3 linked regions of the Callithrix jacchus genome follow. The protein of the gene in region 2 interacts with the protein of the main gene of each other region in a pairwise test. Links are inferred from orthologs where the notes say so. Each region holds a gene or a part of one and is shown on either strand. Other genes may lie near its edges. The genes, in order: PTN, DNAJB11 and UBR1.

Region 1 (5,979 bases), on a different chromosome or scaffold from region 2:
AGAATGTTATTTGTGTTTTAAAATGATGTTTTGGCTTTTGCTAAGAACAATTCTTAAAATGAAGGGCCCGATTATTAGTTACTATGACTCACTTTTTTCAAGATTAATATACATCAGTTGATTTTTTGTTATACTCTGTATGAAAAAAAATTTAAGAGTTCTATTTTTAGAAAGGATATGATTGTCTTTTCTATTTGAGATATCACTTTATCTAAACTCACTATGAAAAAGAGGCTCAATAAATAAAGCCCAAAAAATGAATTAAACTTTATTTCTAAAAGTGTCTCAAACATGAAGGAGTCACTGTATTCCCTGCCCACCCTGAAGAAATAGGGATTTGTGCTGAATGTGATCTACATAATTAAATCCAAAATATTACCATATTTATAATACCCTCTGATAATGTTTCATCATAGTTACCCTTCTAAACTTCTGTTTTAATTTCTTATTTACTAAATGCCAAAATAGAAAGAAAAGGAGGCTTGTTATATTTTACAGTCTAGAAATATTGTAATGACACCATGATAACTATGCCAAATACTAGGCTGGCTTAAAGTGGATGGAAAAATAGCCCAGCGAGTGGAAACTTCAATTGTCCATAAACACCAGAGCGAAAGACAACTTTCCTTGAGGCCATACTCCAAATTCCACTTAAGCCAATTGACTCTGGATGGAAAAAAGCAAGCCCAGCTCATAAAAAGAAGGTTCATACCTGAGTATTATTTTACCTCCCCTCCAACAGCAACGACATGACCTTGTGTAAGAAGGAGACAAATCTCTTCGATTACTCATTTAGAACAGAAGCCAGAGGAGAAAACATTCCTCACCCTTCTGGAGAAGCCCAACTCAACATCACTAGCAAAGCCACGGAACAAAGACCATTGGAGAGTTCCCACATAGCCTCATGCTCCTGAGAAAAGTTGACCTCAAACTGGGCTGAGATGCACTCAGGTGTGGAGCACATCTGAACTCTCATCACATTGGGTGGTCCAGTTTGGACACCTCCTTCAGGAGAGAAGTCAAGAACAACTCCCCTTATCATTATACCGCCATATTAAAAAACATAATTGTTTAGAGAAAGGGAATTCGTATCTGAATTCTGACTTCTGGCCCTCAATCTATTGTTAAATTTATCACATCATTATGAACAAGCCAACTAAACTCAGTTTCCTAGGATATTTTTGAATAGTAATTGAAAACACAATGTCACAAATAGGAATACGATTAGAATTCATGTGAGGATGTCATGTAGGTGAGAAAGCAAGGGTATTGTCAAAGAAAAAATAAAAGATTTAAAGTTAAAATATTTGACATCAAAGATTAATTTTATTGAATAAAAATGATTCAACTATCTGGAAATCTTATTTCTCTCTGTTGTTTTCCGTTGTTTCAGGTTTAAAATTTATAAAATTTTATAATTTTATATTTATAAAAGGGCCATTAGCTTTACTGAAATCTTTCAAAAAATGAAAATGCTCATTAAAAAGAAATGTAGGTCTTGCTACACATTGCTATATGTGAAGCCCAAATAAGGCACATGGAAAATGTCAATAAATTAGGAAGTTCATGATTCCAAATCTCATGATCTCATGAAAAGAAGTCTAAAAAAAACAGAGAATTATATATAATACATACAATACATTAGACTATAAATATAGTTAGGTATACTTTATTACTCTAATTCTCTGTAATATCTCATTTAAAGTCAGATAATTTAAAAGTCATGTATTAAATAGTACTTGTGTATATCTCAAGCTCTACCTTTGAGAACATAATGCATTTGCATCCAGAAGCAAACAGCTGGAACACAGCAACTAATAATGCTGTTACATGTGGCTTCAGATGGGAGTTCCTTATAGTGGCTTTTCACTAAATGAAGAAAAAGATGTCCCAAAGGGAATCAGTGAGCAGTGGCAGGAAAAAAGATCATCTTCTATGTATTTAGAGCACAATTAGAGAATTTAAGGCCCAAGTTTCTTAAAGCACAAAAGAATGGCATTAGAGTATTTTTGAAAAAATATATAATTTTTAAAAATCTCATCTAATTTAAATGAAAACGTATAAATATTGCCAGTCTGAAATAACTCATGTCCCAAAGGGAGAAAAAAAAAAGATAATATTCATTCTAATTTCCTCTGAATTTAACTGGACTACATATTCCTTAATGATTTGGCCTTTAAAATGCATAATTTACTTAAAAAGAAACATAATGAAGATGGAAAATACAAGCTTTATTTTCTGCGTTGGGAGACTTCTCTTTTGTTTCATTCTCATTACCTGTTAATATTTCTACATATCAATGCATTCCTAGATAATTAAGGGGCTAAAATGGGCTCTGCTGTTTCATCAATTCCATGTTTGCCTTGGATCATAAAATTGCTTCATTATGTTATTAGTTCAAAAGCTCTTTTTGGTAATTTACCAAGTCTTCTCCCAGATCCCTTACTCCAGTGCGCGCACGCGCACACACACACATACAGACACGCACGCACACACATACACCCCACCCCTTTCTCAAGCTGCTAAAGCAAAATGCTTGATAACTCTTAAAATGCTCAAGGATGGGAACTTTACTATTCTCTCCTCTTAGGACCCCCACCCCTCCTATTTTCTGAATGTATTCCCAAACTTACAAAGCAGCTCTTAATAGACACAAGGGTGAGTTAACAATAAAGCGGATCTATACGGCATGTATGTGTTCTTGTATGAGCGCGTGTGTGTTGTGTCGTGTTATGTCATGGAAAAAGGGGTGTGTGTGTGTATGGAGAAGAGAGAGAAGGCTTCACGTTCAGTCTATTAAGTAAGAAAGGAGTTGAATATATTCCTCTCAAAAAAATTTCATAACTTATTAGAAACATCAACTTAGAAACTCTCAATATCTAGTCGATTAGTAACAAATACACCCTAGGTTCATATGGGTCAAATTAAAAGTTTAAGGGTCTATGTACAGGGCAGTTCTTTATATGGGACTCAGGGGGCATCTTCTAAGCTTTGGGTCTAACCATTTCTGGAACCATTCCTGGGCTGTCAGGTGGGAATAAGGGTGCCAGTGGTTCTGTGAGAGACGTTCCATGTCAGCTAGCATTGGGAGGAACAAGCCCCCACAGTTTACCTAGAAATGCCAGCTAAGAGTCATGGGCTGGCCGGCCCTGGGGCAATCAGAGAATCAGAGAGAGGATTGGAAAATGAGAGCTGCTTGTTCAGGCTGCCTTACTTTCTCTTCAACTACCCAGCCACAGACACACCTACTAAAGCTCCCGGTTTTACAAAAAGCAAAGATGCACTCTCCCGCCCTGGCCTGCTCTCCAGCTGGCAGCTGGAACAGGGTCCAAATGCACGCTTAACATCACAAAAACTTCTCACACTTACCTAAGCACTCCCTGACGAACCTAACCTCACTCCCCCAAAATATGCCTCCCTTCGTCCCTGAAGCAAGTCAGTTTTGAAAGCGGTCCTATCAGCAACGACACCAGGCAGCCTCTCTCACTCCTACCACCATCATCGGCTGGCACCCAGAAAAGTGGCACAGGGTGAAGGCAAACTCGAAGAGCCCTCCGAGAAATCGTGCGTTCTTCTCACTTACTTTGAGTTGCAAATGTCCGCTCTGGCGCTCAGGCTGCCTTTGTTGCGAGGGGCGAGGTTGCTACTGCCGAGTCCAGGTATGGGCGGCTCGCTGCAGCTCTGGGTGGCTGCGGCTCTCCACGCCTTCTGGACGGATGAGTCACTGGTCTCTTTCTTCCCCTCTCCCCACTTTGGATTTTCCTCTGCTCTGGGGCTCTCTTGGCGGGATTTTTGGACTGGAAGGCGGGGAACCTGATCCTGCCTTTGACTCAATTACGCCCCAACAGGGAGGGAACGGAAGGGAAATGGAGAATGGGAGTGATGAGAGGAGCGGGCCAGGAGGACGCAGGCTGGGCGAGGGAGGGAGAGCGCTTTGCGCTCCAGAGCTGATTGGGAAGCTTATTAAAAGCAGAATACTCCAGGGGCAGTCTCTCCCCATGGAGCAAGAAAAGGGATTTGAACTAAGAGGCCAGGAGATGGCATTTTGTTTTGTTTTTAGCAGAGACCAAACACAGTATTTCTCTTCCAAACTCCATGCATTATCAAGTCTTCAGATGGTGCAAAGCCACTTTGCCAACTGGGATATTTTAAATGAACAATTGACTGCATTTTAGGTTACAGTTTTGGCCCCACACAATTCTTTAATGATATTCAGGATGAAAAAGCACTCTCGCTGGGCGCGGTGGCTCAAGCCTGTAATCCCAGCACTTTGGGAGGCTGAGGCGGGTGGATCACAAGGTCAAGAAATCGAGACCATCCTGGTCAACATGGTGAAACCCCGTCTCTACTAAAAATACAACAAATTAGCTGGGCATGGTGGCACGTGCCTGTAATCCCAGCTACTCAGGAGGCTGAGGCAGGAGAATTGACTGAACCCAGGAGGTGGAGGTTGCAGTGAGCCGAGATCGCGCCATTGCACTCCAGCCTGGGTAACAAGAGGGAAAGTCTGTCTAAAAAAAAAAAAAAAAAAAAAAAATAGAAAAAGCATTCTCTTCAAACCAGCCTCTTCTTTCCCACCCGCCAAAGCCCTCCCTATACACAGAGGCAGTTACCCAGCTGTGAGTCACATCTCATCTGCAAAGCACAAAATGTACAAAGTACTTTTTCTCGATTGTCACAAAGAGTGACAGACGTCTGAAAACTCCCAATTAAGTACTACTTACCTTTAGGGAGAGCTCTCTCCTTTTTTGGTTTCCTTGGTGCCTTTAGTGACCTATTTAGTAACATGCCTTTGACACCCAAGAATTTAGAGGATGTGTCAATGTAGCTCAAATGCTGAGGTTTGTAAAAGTTGGAGGCTGGGCTTTGTGTCTCTCTGAAATTTTCATTTCATTCAGTTGAGGAAAGATGCTAAGTCAATGCAGAGGTAAGTATTCATGATACAGATGAGATACAAGTATTGTATTAAGATTAAGATGCATTACACAAATTTACCCAAACATTTTCAAAATGTAAATCTCGAGATTTTCTGCTACTTACCAGCTTTTCCTGCTCCTTGGCTAGTTCCTTTCACTTACTTTTACCGCTCAGCTTATCATTTGATGGTGTCCTCCCAAATTGATAGTAAAATAGACTTGCATTTTTCATAGTTCTGAGGTTACATCCCTTCGTTTCAATTTGACAAATATTTATTAAGCAACTTATTTACTTAGAGCTATCCCCAAACCCCTAAATTAGAAGCATTGTGGTGGCAAGTAGTTTTTAGGGATTTGGGGATCTTATATTGACTGCTACCTGGAGAAATATCCCATGGAGGAGTCAGCTGGAACCAAAGAGGTAGCTCTATAAATTTAATCAAGTAGTCAAACTATTCAAAAGAAATGGCATCAGACATGCACTTACACACTTACAGCTTATCCCCCTTCCCAAACTCTTCATACACATACCATAAACAATTCTCAAATGAAATAACTAAATAAGGAAGCTGTGTTCCTTTCTCCTACACACAGGCCTCAAGTTACCTATTTTCCTTTTGTAATTCCACTTCCCCATGAAGCAAGCAGTGTTTGTTTTAATCAGATTTCATTTGTATAAAGTGTGGAGGAATGCACATTATCATTTTTATTAGCGTTTTCCCCGGTCCCTTTACTGAAAAAGATGTCTCAGCATTTTGTTAACAGGAGCAAAATTTCCAAGCCATTGAACAAAGAGTTATCCATTTTCTTTCTGTTCTTCAGCTTTATCTTAACATATACAAATGTAACATACTGCTGCTACCAGTTAGGTGAACAATGCTGACTTGATTGAGGTGCTCTCTATAGGGTTGACAAAGTAAGCATGAGATTCCCATGATTTCTACTCAATTACATATGTTATATCAGAAATATCACCCTTTATTCAGATAGGGATATACTAAAATTGCATACATCAGTGGTTATCCATTGGGAGCAATTTTGCCCTCCAGGAAAAGTGAATAAT
Region 2 (6,250 bases):
CATATTAAGGAATAAAATAGGATAATTTCAGATAGTGATAAATGCTATGAAAATTGGGGCAGGGGTCAGGGAGGGCCACTTTGTAGTGCCAAATTTGAGCTGAGGCCTGAAGAATAAGCAGCCAGCCATATAATGATCACCATCCAAGTAAATTTTACTCAAAAATGAGACGTCAACCACCACCCGCAGGGAGGTCTGTCCTGCAGACCTTGACTCAGTGACGGATGAATAAATGCACTCACATCTAGTTCAGTGATTCAAGTGGGCTAGGGATGGTTATTGGCTCTTTTCAGATGGCAACCCCCTCCCTCTCCATCCTCACATTTATTCAGTATGAATTTCATAACAGAGTTTCTAAGTTAACATGCTTGTGGATAATTAATATGGTTAAAAGAGTGGTTTTATCAATGATAAAAGCTTTTGGTTTCATGCCCAGAGTAAACACTATTAATGCGTAATTCCCCTTTGATCTGCCCTGAGAGGACCATCCAGCACAAAGTTTACATGAGCAAACAGAGTAGAGACAAAGGGATGTGGGGTAAACAGACTTAACTGGGAAAGCTTCTTACTGTCTCTGTCTTTTCCCTAATCTAATGTAAATGAACTGGCTGCCTTCAGCCTGTCCCAATAAAACCTTTCAGTCTTCCAAAAGGTTTGAGATGATAATCCCTATAACTTTCCCTAATATTTCCCTAATTATTTTGCCAGCCACCCCAAGTGAATCTCCACACAAAAATACTTCCACACCTACTCCATGCCAGGCAGTGTTCTAAGTTACTGTTTCATACAGCTGTGAACAGAACAATATAGATTCATGCTCTCATGAAACTGGCATTTCAGTATGTAAGTCTAGGGTCCAGGGATTAAAAAAATAAAATAAAATTGGAGGCCGGGCATAGTGACTTATGCCTGTAATCCCAGCAATTTGGGAAGCAAGGCAGGTGGATCACTTAAGGTCAGGAGATCGAGACCAACCTGGTCAACATGGTGAAACCCTGTCTCTACTAAAAATACAAAATTAGACATGTATAGTAGCACGTGCCTGTAGGCCCTGCTACTTGGGAGGCTGAGGCAGGGGAATCACTTGAACCTGGGAGGTAGAGGTTGCAGTGAACCGAGATTGTGACACTGCACCCCAGCCTGGGCAACAGAGTGAGACTCTGTCTCAGGAAAAAAAAGAAAACAGGATGGTGTAAGAGTAAGAAACTCAGTAGGGGCTAATTTTGAATGATTGGTCAGGGAAGTCTTCCCTGAGGTGGTGGCATTTAAGCTGATTTATGAGTTGAAGAAGGAATCACCTGTGTCAGGACATGAGGGAGAGTACAGTGTTTCAGGTAAAGGGCATAGCTAGCACAGAGGCCCTCAGCAGGTGTATGCAAAAAAGAAAGGAAGCAAGTTTTGCTGGACCATGGTCAGGAGTATAATAGGTGAGAGGGAGTACAAAGCATAAACAGCTTTGTAAACTAGCATTAAGTTGGGATTTTATTCTAAATGCAAAGGAAGAGTCATTCCAGGATTTTAAGCAGGGGAGTGACATGATTTGACTTTTATTTTTATTTATTTTATTTTGAAATGGAGTCTAACTGTTGCCCAGACTGGAGTGCAGTGGTGCGATCTCCACTCACTGCAACCTCCACCTCCCAAATTCAAGGGATTCTCCTGCCTCAGTCTCCCGAGTAGCTGGGATTACAGGCGCCCGCCACCACACTCAGCTAATTTTTGTATTTTTAGTGAGACAGGGCTTCATCATTTTGGTCAGGCTGGTCTTGAGCTCCTGACCTCAGGTGATCCGCCTGCCTCGGTCTCCCAGTGTGCTGAGATTACCGGTCTTTTTTTTTTTTTAATTATGGAGTGGGGGACAGGATGAGCAACATCTATTAAGGTATTAAGGAAGATATTAAGAGTAGGGGCAGACAGAACAGTTAGGAGACCCTGGCCAGGTGAGAGATACTCTGTGATCCAGAGACCCCGTAATGGAGATATAGTGGACAGATTCAAGTATAGTTCAGGGGTAAAGATTTGGATAGCTTATACATGAAAGGAATAAAAACACCGAGAGTTTTGTCCTGATCAACTAGGTGTTGTGTAACTGTGATGAGTAAAATTCGGGGAAGAGGGGGAATCAACTGCTTGAACTGTAATAATGGTTTTTATTCATTGCCTGCTTACCATGTGCCCAACGATTTACAGATATTTTTTCCCTGTAAAAATTCCCTGTAAAAAACAGCACTGCCAATAAGTACTTTGCCTTAGTTTTGCTGATAAAAAAAACTTAGGCTCAGACTCGGGAGGAGAAGAGGGATAGGGGAGTCTCACCTCTAAGTGGTGGAAGCTTAATCCTATCGTCACGGTCGGCTTTCCGAGACGGTTGCCTTAAGGAGTTGCTTGGAGAACGTAAAATAAGAGTCCGAAGCAATGCGTCCGATGTACAGCAGTCGTGGAATAACTGTACCGGCCCATTCTGCCGCTATACCTCTGCTCCCGCTTTCGGCGCGAAGCTGGATATGAATGAAATTCCATACTTGTAACAGAGAGAAAACTTTTCTCCCGCAATTGGTCAGTGCTGGGGAGGAGCCTCCTGATTGGTGAGAAGCCCGAGGAAGTAGGCGAGCCGGAGGGGATTTCTTGTACCTCAGGGGGCCCCCTCGGTCGACCCCGCCCCCTACTTACGTAATTTTCTACGACTCGGGGTAGCTCGGGCAGAGCCGGTTCCTGCAGCGGCGCAATCCTCTGACATCTCTTCTTCTAATTGGTCGGGAGCTGCGACTGCAATTCTGAAGCCTAACTGGCTGCCCTTGCCGCCTCGGAGGTGAAGTGTACTGCGCTGATTGGCTTCCAGGCGCCGGCCGCGTGTGATGTCCGGGGCAACGATTGGCTCTCGCCTGCTGGGGACTTCTCTCACTGGGACTCGGGACTCCCGGGAAGTGGACTGGTAGAGGACGGGGCTAGCTAGCTGTCTCTTCGGACCAAGGAGGAGACCCACCCCCCCGCGCCCTCCGGTGTGAGGCGGCCTCCCAGGGCCGGGTGGGCTGGCGAGCCGACGCGGCTGCGGCGGCGGAGGAGGAGGCTGTGAGGAGTGTGTGGTACACGACCCGGGACAGAGGAACCATGGCTCCGCAGAACCTGAGCACCTTTTGCCTGTTGCTGCTGTACCTCATCGGGGCCGTGATTGCCGGGTGAGGAGTAGACACGGGGCCGGTGGGTCAGCCTTTGCTGGGGGTGGGAGGGAGTGGGGGATGTGGCATTGCCAGACTGAGGGAGTGGAGAGGGGCATCGCTGTGGGGTGACGGGATGACTGAGGAAGGGGTAGTATGGGCCTGGCTAGTGGGGTGAGAGGAGAACCGTGGGTGACACCAGTGAGAGGGCTTTACGTCTAGAGAGGGCCTTAGGTAGAGCTAGATTTGCCCAGAGGAGTGGGAGTTGGATGAATTGCCAAATGGCATTTGGGGGATGAGGAGAGTTTGAGGGCAAGAAGGTGGTTGTGAGCTGAAGCAGTGTCACGTAGAGCTGGGGAAGAAAGAGGGGTGACTGACTGTATGGCAAGGTAATGACAGTGTCAGGCTGAGGTTGGGGGGATGGACGTTTTGTTTGATCGAAGAGGTGGGTTGCTGTGCCCCGCTGAGCTGGAGAAGCGGATGATACTCTATGCCAAGCCTGCAACGAGTCACTGGGGGGCCGACATTAAAGTGGGTGGATAATGCCAGATCGAGTTGGAACTGAACAAAATCGGATGGGGGAGGGGAGCAAGAAGACCCTTGGAGAGCCCTTGTACTTCCCAGCTTCTTGAGCTATGTATTATCTTCGGTTGCTTCATCTTTAAAGTTCTGGCAGTGCTACTGTTAGAACATTTAAGTGGCATAATCTTTTTAAATAAGGAAAGTCATCCTTTGAGAATGTTATTTGACTTTTAGAAAAGTCAAAAGTCATTTGGAGCCAGTATAGGGAAAGGGAGGAAGAGTTCATTTGACTATATGATTATTGCCTAAAAATAACATGAGACCGTAAAATAAGGAAGCGGTTTTCTTGATTGAAGGTGGCTCTAAAAGAAGAGTTCCACAGATGTTTTGAATAATCTAAAAAGAAGTATGTAGCCTCTTACTGTGATTACATCAATATATAATATTCATTACAAATTCTGGTGTTGTCTTTTTAGTCATACTTTGTGTGTGTATGTGTCGCATAACCCATTTTTGTATTTCTTTGCTCGGATACAAACCCAAATGTAGGGGAAAAATTTTTTTTGCTTTTAAAAATCTAACAGATAACTCTTTAATGAAGTATTCTCTCCCTCTACTTCCCAGGCGAGATTTCTATAAGATCTTGGGGGTGCCTCGAAGTGCCTCTATAAAGGACATTAAAAAAGCCTATAGGAAACTGGCCCTGCAGCTTCATCCTGACCGGAACCCTGATGATCCACAAGCCCAGGAGAAATTCCAGGATCTGGGTGCTGCTTATGAGGTGAGTCCTAAAAAATGATAAAGTATGAATAAAATCTGTAGGTGTAGAAAAAGCATTTACTACAGAGAAACACTCCTTTCAGTTCACTTTTATTTATTATTATTGTTGTTATTATTTTGGGGGGGGACTAAGTCTTGCTCTATTGCCCAGGCTGGAGTGCAGTGGCACATCTCCACTCGCTGAAACCCCCGCCTCCTGGGTTCAAGCAATTCTCCTGCCCAGCCTCCCGAGTAGCTGGGATTACAGGCGCACGCACCACACCCAGCTAATTTTTCTATTTTTAGTAGAGACAGGGTTTCACCATGTTGGCCAGGCTGGTCTCAAACTTCTGACCTCAAGTGATCTGCCCACCTTCTTAGCCTCCCAAAGTGCTAAGATTACAGGCATGAGCCACTGCACCCAGCCAAGGTCACTTTTATTTAAAAACTAAACAGTAGATAAAAGTAAAAGTAGTACTTGATGCTGTATTGTATTAGATATTAAATTCACATTAGTAGATGCCATTTTCTTCCTTTTTATATTAATATTCCAGAATAATGTTGAAAAAGAATAAATGACAGATGATAGATTAATAAGTAGATCAACTGGTCTATCAGTCAGTTTGGGAGCTAGAGCCAAGAATAAAAAGAAAACCTTCATGAGAGTTGCAAGCCTTAAATGACCATATGAACTAGACAAATGACATGCAAGGCAGATATAAATTAAAACATGGCAGCAGATATTCTGCCTCTGTATTGGGAAGCAATAAGGATTGCTGAGGACTTTGACAAACTGAAGGCTCCTTGCCCTATTTCAAGGGGACAGTTGTTACTCAACCCCAAACAATTTTTGTCATATAAATGCAAATAGTATTTTCCTAGATGATTTAATTTTTCAAGAAAAGTTGAAAATCTAGATTTTTATATAAATTCTGCTTGTGAAAACTAATTCAGTTAAATTTCTTTTTTACATAGATCAACAAAGCACAGTTTTAATTTGATTTTGCAACCTCTAATCTGGGGGTCAAAACACTTTCATGTGTATCATCTCATTTAATCTTTACTAGGACACCAGGAAATATAGTAGAGCTAGGCATATTTTCTTATTTTTTAAATGGACACAGAAGAAAATTAATTGAACTAAAAGTCACAGAGCTAAAACTCCCAAATTTAAGTTAAAATTCTTGTATATTGAGAAGGCTAGAAACAAATTGAAAAATATTTTAGGAAGACACAAATCTCAAAAGAAAGGAATCCCAAGACCTCTTAGATTAAAGAAGCAATGGAAATGAAACAGTGACTTATACCCAGGTGAATCCAAGAGCTCTTGGGGTCCTTCTTCTTTCAACACCTGCAGGGATCCTATGGGACAGAAATTCTTAACCTGAGGCACGTGAATAAACTTGAAAAGGTTGATGGCCCATCCTAAATTATATGTAACATTTTGTTTCTTGTTTATAATATGGATTCCATATTTTGCACTGAATGTTCCATGAATAGTCCCTTGTTTGCCAGGGACCCAATACTCAAAAACATTTTCTAAGGAAGCTGAATTTACCATGCTGTCTAAAAAATCTACATGTTCTTTATGACGTAGGCAAGCTATACAAAGGTCAGTCATGAAATTACAATTTATTTAACTATTAACCCTTGAAATTTCTTTTTTCTTTTTATCATTCAAGCTTGATTGCCTTTAGTCTTAGGTAAATTAGTGTTCACGAATTAGAATCCGAGTACAGTTATGAAGATTCTTTTATGAATACAAATTTGTTTTCTCTACAGAGCTAGGATTACTGCTGGCATTTTAAGTACTT
Region 3 (6,125 bases), on a different chromosome or scaffold from region 2:
GTTGCACATGTCTGTAATCCCAGTTACTCGGGAGGCTGAAGCAGGAGAATAGCTTGAACCTGGGAGGTGGAGGTTTCAGTGAGCCAAGACATGACCACTGCACTCCAGCCCAGGTGACATAGCCAGACTCCATCTCCATCAGCTTATTCCTAGCTCAGATCTGTCATTCCCGTCATCTCTCAAATCCTCCATACTTTTGTTTTGTTATCTGCCTCCTGAGTTCCTAGACTTCCCTCTGTTGTGAGATCACCCGTTCCCACATACAGACCTTCATGTTTAGGCCATCAATTATTTATCTCCTTGAAATATGTTAACAGAATAGCTCAAGTATAATTCAATTACATTAAAATTCCTCTGACCCAACAAAATACTACTGCATCTACGAGCATCTCTGAGGAGCAAGAAAATTGAGGTTCAGAGATCATGACTTGACTTTGTAAGGAAGTAGTAAAATCAGGACTTTAAACCCAGAACTTTGGAAAGCCCGGGTGGGTGAATCATAAGGTCAGGAGTTCGAGACCAGCCTGGCCAACATGGTGAAACTGTCTGTACTAAAAAAATACAAAAATAGGCTGGGCGTGGTGGCTCAAGCCTATAATCCCAGCACTTTGGGAGGCCGAGGAGGGTGGATCACGAGATCAAGAGATCGAGACCATCCTGGTCAACGTGGTGAAACCCTGTCTCTACTAAAAATACAGAAATTAGCTGGGCATGGTGGCGTGTGCCTGTAATCCCAGCTACTCGGGAGACTGAGGCAGGAGAATTGCTTGAACCCAGGAGGCGGAGGTTGCGGTGAGCCGAGATCGCGCCATTGCACTTCAGCCTGGGTAACAAGAGAGAAACTCCGTCTCAAAAAAAAAAAAACAAAAAAAAAACAAAGATAAGCCGGATATGGTGGCTTGTGCCTGTAATCCCAATTACTCGGGTGGCTGAGGCAGAATTGCTTGTGCTGGGGAGACTGGGATTGCAGTGAGCCGAGATCACGCCACTGCACTCCAGCCTGGGCTGACAGAGCAAGACTCCATATCAAAAAAATAAAAAAATAAAATAGGGCCGGACGCGGTGGCTCAAACCTGTAATCCCAGCACTTGGGGAGGCCGAGGCGGGTGGATCACAAGGTCAAGAGATCGAGACCATCCTGGTCAACATGGTGAAACTCCGTCTACTAAAAATACAAAAATTAGCTGGGCATGGTGAGGCGTGCCTGTAATCCCAGCTACTCAGGAGGCTGAGGCAGGAGAATTGCCTGAACCCAGGAGGCGGAGGTTGCGGTGAGCCGAGATTGCGCCATTGCACTCCAGCCTGGGTAGCAAGAGCGAAACTCCGTCTCAAAAAAACAAAAAATATATATTTACACACACACACACGTATATAATATCTATTTCTATATAACAAATATGTATATATAAAATATACATTAACTTTTTTTTGAGACAGAGTATTTTGCTCTTGTTGCCCAGGCTGGAGTGCAATGGCACGATCTCAGCTCACTGCAACCACCGCCTCCCAGGTTCAAGCAATTCTCCTGCCTCAGCCTCCCGAGTGGCTGGGATTTCAGGAATGCGCCACGATGCCCAGCTAATTTTGTAGTTTTAGTAGGGACGGGGTTTCACCATGTTAAGGCTGGTCTCAAACTCCCGACCTCTGGTGATCCGTCTGCCTCAGTCCCCCAAAGTGCTGGGATTACAGGCGTGAGCCACCGCGCCCGGCCACATATACTTTTAAATTATTTGTTTGGTAAACAATTTAAAATACAGATGAAGCTAAAGTAGTTCTTGACCACCTTCTTGCTCCAATCCGAATCCTGGCCCTCAGTTACCACTTGGCTCTTTCCCCTTTCAGAGTTATTCCTTCACATCTAAATGCATATGTGTGCAAATATATAGTTTTCGGCAACTTGGCCTTTTTCTCTCACTTAATTTACCTTTTCACTTAGATTTATCTTGCTCAAAGCTGCACGGTATTTCAAAATGCGGGAGTACCATAGTGTATCTTGTCTTTCCTCTAGCGATGAATGACTAGGTTTCCAATTTTTTGTTATTTCCCCTCCGTGCCCCCCAATAAAGCTGGATCCTGAGCTTTTTTTGTACGCATGTGCAAGTGCCTACGGGGTAGACTCCTAAAAATGGAAGATGTGTGAGTACTTTCTTTTGTATTTCGTAGGTTCTGGGGAACACTGCAGGGAGGTCGGGATACAAAACATGCCCAGGCTAACAACCGGCGAGCTAGGATAGCTCCTGACAGTTTTCTTCCTTTCATAATGGACGCTGAATTTGTTGTTGTTTTTTACTTCGTAGATGCAACAGTTCTCAGCACCAAACGCTATGCCTGATAAATTAGAGGGAAAAATACCCTCCAGTCCCTTCATGTTGTGACGCTTGCTTCCGGGAAGCGGGCCGGAAGCCGGTCCTCGATTCTGCGTGAAACCCGACTTCAGGGGCCGTCGTAAAAGTGTCGTTCCCGTCTCTCCGACCAGCCACAGGTTTCCGCTTGCTTCTGGCCAGGGGGGTCAGCAACTGTAGGCGTCAGTTTCCCTCAAGATGGCGGACGAAGAGGCTAGAGGTGCGGAAAGAATGGAAATCTGCTCGGAGTTACCCCAGACCCCTCAGCGTCTGGCAGCTGTAAGTCCCTATAGGCAAGTCTCTTTTGTCCTCCCCCAATCCCTCCCTACTGCGCTCAGGAGAATGTGGAGCTTCACCCCTTATGGCGGCTCTGGGGAGGGGAAGTTATATGGATTGATCTGGAAGGAAGCCACCGAATAAAAAGTTAGTCGCAACCCACGTTTCTGCCAGCCAAGTCTACGGAATATTATGACTTTGTTATGTATTATTCTTGTTGTTCTCAAGCATGCACGTCTCTATTTTGAAGTAGAAAGAACCGGTGATGTTATTAGACGGTTTGATATGGGGGCTGAGGTGGTGGAGTTGGAGCAAGAGCCATTTTCGTATAGAAGCAGTGCTAACCCCTCTTGATGATGGGAACGCAGCATCTGGTATTGTATTGCACAGCCGGCTGACCGGGACGTGATAATGGTAGTGAGTGCTGCCACTGTCAAGTCATGTCAAGATGTTATGTGCAGGAATTGTCCTTCTATATAGCATCTTGAGAACCCCAGGCCTAACCTTCTGTGGAGAAACCCATCATCTGTCGCTGCTTTTTAAAAGTGAAGAAGGGACGCCCAAACATTTCAAGCCAGAGCAATACCATTAATTAATATCGGAATCTATACTTTGCTCCAGCAGTTTGAAAGAATGGGAAGGCAGAGATAGTGAACAAATTTGAGTGAGTAGCTACAGGGAGAAAGCTGACAGAGGAAGATAAGAGGTAGAGGGCAATGTTAGGGAATGTTCTGGATGCCTAGGGCATCTAGTGGGGAGATATTTAGAAAATATTCAAATATCTATCACTGCATAATGTTTTATTAGTTTGTTTTTCTAAGTAGCAGCAGTTAGAAAATTGGGATATACACTTTTTTTTCTGAAGTTTCTTGGGTTTGCAGTGTAATGGAAACTTTTTTTTTTTGAGAAGGAGTTTCACTCTTGTTGCCCAGGCTCGAGGACAGTGGCGCAATCTCAGCTCACTTCAATTCAGGCGATTCTCCTGCCTCAGCTTCCAGAGTAGCTGGGATTACAGGCGCCTACCCCCACACCCAGTTAAATTTTTTTGTATTTTTAGTAGAGACGTGGTGTCACCATGTTGGCCAGGCTGATCTCTAACTCCTGACCTCAGGTGATCCACCTGCCTTGGCGACCCAAAATATTGGGATTACAGTGTAAGCCACCGCAGCTGGCCTAATAAAAGCATTTGTTTTAATCTTGCAGACAATTGAGCATTGTTTTATTAAGGACAGAGGGAACTACAGAATGAGTCAACTCCAGGGACTGATGAGACTGGCTAGGTGGTAGGAATCAAGTAGGAAGGGAGTTGGAAAAAGGATTTGGTCACTGACTGTGTTAGTGCTTGTAGTTTTCCTCCACCCCAAATAGCGGTTCAAATTCACTTCACTACTGGCAGTAAAGGAGGAAGCGTCTATTTGAGATGATAAGGAATGAGGAGGTGGGACAAGTTCAGAAGCAGCTGAAACATCTTAATGGTAATTTGTGGGTTAGAAGGAGTGGGGAAACTCTGCTGTGGTCAGAAAAATTATTAGTTTTGTATCCGAAGATTAATATTTATTTAAAGCTTTGATACATTAATTTTTTCCAGGTAGTACAGTAAAACTCTATCATTCTGGACACCACTCATTTGGAATTGAGACAATGATACAGGAATTGAGATAGAATTTATTTGGCAAACTTCACCTCAGGAAATATTATTAGATTTTGTTGGGCAAGGCTTTAGGTTTTGCAAAGTAGTAGGTAGATTGTGTAATATAGCCCCAAGGAACTCAGCCCCAAGGAACTCACAGTCTGGTGACACAGCTAATATAAGTGCCCAAAGAATTTTAATTCAAGGTAAAGTACTGTCAGTAGACAAGACCTTTAACTGTTACGCTTCATAACCACTTTTTTGGCTTGGCTCTCTCTACCTACTGAAGATCCTACAGCTCATTATACCTTTCTCTCTCTGTTTCTCAAGCTACTACTGACTTTAATTTTATTTCAGCCATGGCGTGACACTGGCTTCCCAGTTTACTACTTTGGTGTTAAGCAACATGAGCTCAGTTGTCCCCCCTACTCCTTATTGCTTATCTTTAGACAAAGGTAAATGGTATGGGACATTTATAGAGGTTTAAGCAATTGAACAGTTTCTATTAGAGTCTAATTCCTGGTTATAGTTTTTGATTTCCTTTAAACTTCCTTCTTAGTCTGCAGGTCCTTTTTCATTCATATTGCTATTGGTAAGCATGAAGGCTGTAATATTCCTAACATTATCTCACATGCAATTCACGTAAAATAATAGGTATGAATTTGCAGATATTTATAAAAGCCATTGCTTAAGAATCACCAGAGGAACTGATACCATAGGTCTGAGAATCTGCATTTTCACAAGCATGCCCTGCTGATTCTGAAATAGTGGTCCAGGGCCACACTTTCAGTAACACTTAGCTAGGTATTTGGAAGTTATCAGTAAATTATTGACAGTTGAGTTGTGGGAATGGGTAACATATTTTTTTTGAGACAGGGTCTCACTTTATCACCCAGGCTAGAGTGCAGTGGCACAAATGTAACTCTCTGTAGCCTCAGCCTCTTGGGCTCAGGTGATCCTCCCACCTCAGCCTCCTAAGTGGCTGAGAATATAGGTACGGGCCACCATGCCCTGCTAATTTTTTGCATTTTTTATAGAGACAGGGTTTTGTTTTATTTATTTATTTTAAGACAGAGTCTCACTCTACCACCCAGGCTGGAGTACAGTGGCACTATCTTAGCTCACTGCAACCTCCACCTCCTGGGTTCAAGCAATTCTCATGCCTCAGCTTCCCAGGTAGCTGGAGTTACAGGTGTGCGCCACCATGCCTAGCTAATTTTTGTATTTTTAGTAGAGACAGGATTTTGCCATGTGGCCAGACTGGTTTCAAGCCCCGATCTCAAGTGATCCATCTGCCTTGGCCTCCCAAAGTGGTGGGATTACAAGTGTGAGCCACTATACCCAGCCTGGATAAAATCTTTCAGGAGGAAAATGTGTGCATATGTAGACACACACATACAGAGGAAAATAGAGTGTGTGAGAGAGACGATGAGAGAACAGGAATGATTGAAATGGGTAGAAAATGGAAGAACTGGAACGTGGAAACAGAACAGGCAAGCTGGTAAGAGGTGAGAGTAGTGCAATGGCAGGGGTAATGTTTTGAGGAGAGGGTGGTGGTTTATTGTGTCCATGATGTTGAGGACTGAGAAAAATTGCGAATCAAGAGTGTTGGTGGGTAGTTTGCCAGAACTTCTTTCTGCCTTCTGTCTTCCTTAACTAGATTTTCTTAAGTCAATTTCAGAAGATACCTCTTGGCATGACACTCAGCTCTTATCTATTGCCCATTTACAACAGGCATACACCAACTATGCCCAGTTTTTTTTTTTTTTTGAAGACAAGGTCTGTCTCTGTCGTGCAGGCTGGAATGCAGTGGCGTGATCTTGGCTTACTGCAACCTCCACCTCCCAGATTCAGGTGATTCTCCTGCGTCAGCCTTC

Evidence for each region.
Region 1: the proteins of DNAJB11 (region 2) and PTN interact in a two-hybrid assay, tested with the Homo sapiens proteins (2 studies listed by BioGRID and IntAct). The link is inferred for Callithrix jacchus from reciprocal best matches to the Homo sapiens genes DNAJB11 and PTN.
Region 3: the proteins of DNAJB11 (region 2) and UBR1 interact in a two-hybrid assay, tested with the Homo sapiens proteins (2 studies listed by BioGRID and IntAct). The link is inferred for Callithrix jacchus from reciprocal best matches to the Homo sapiens genes DNAJB11 and UBR1.

What each region holds. Positions count from the first base shown.
Region 1 is NC_133512.1:109,977,728-109,983,706, reverse strand, and holds the start of PTN (pleiotrophin), read right to left. Parts: upstream 3,772-5,979; 5' UTR 3,584-3,771; intron 1-3,583.
Region 2 is NC_133516.1:15,552,323-15,558,572, forward strand, and holds the start of DNAJB11 (dnaJ homolog subfamily B member 11), read left to right. Parts: upstream 1-2,884; 5' UTR 2,885-3,108; coding exon 3,109-3,176; intron 3,177-4,301; coding exon 4,302-4,458; intron 4,459-6,250. UniProt on the Homo sapiens protein: As a co-chaperone for HSPA5 it is required for proper folding, trafficking or degradation of proteins.
Region 3 is NC_133509.1:30,852,907-30,859,031, reverse strand, and holds the start of UBR1 (E3 ubiquitin-protein ligase UBR1), read left to right. Parts: upstream 1-2,527; 5' UTR 2,528-2,540; coding exon 2,541-2,621; exon of another isoform or gene 2,622-2,635; intron 2,636-6,125. UniProt on the Homo sapiens protein: E3 ubiquitin-protein ligase which is a component of the N-end rule pathway. Recognizes and binds proteins bearing specific N-terminal residues that are destabilizing according to the N-end rule, leading to their ubiquitination and subsequent degradation.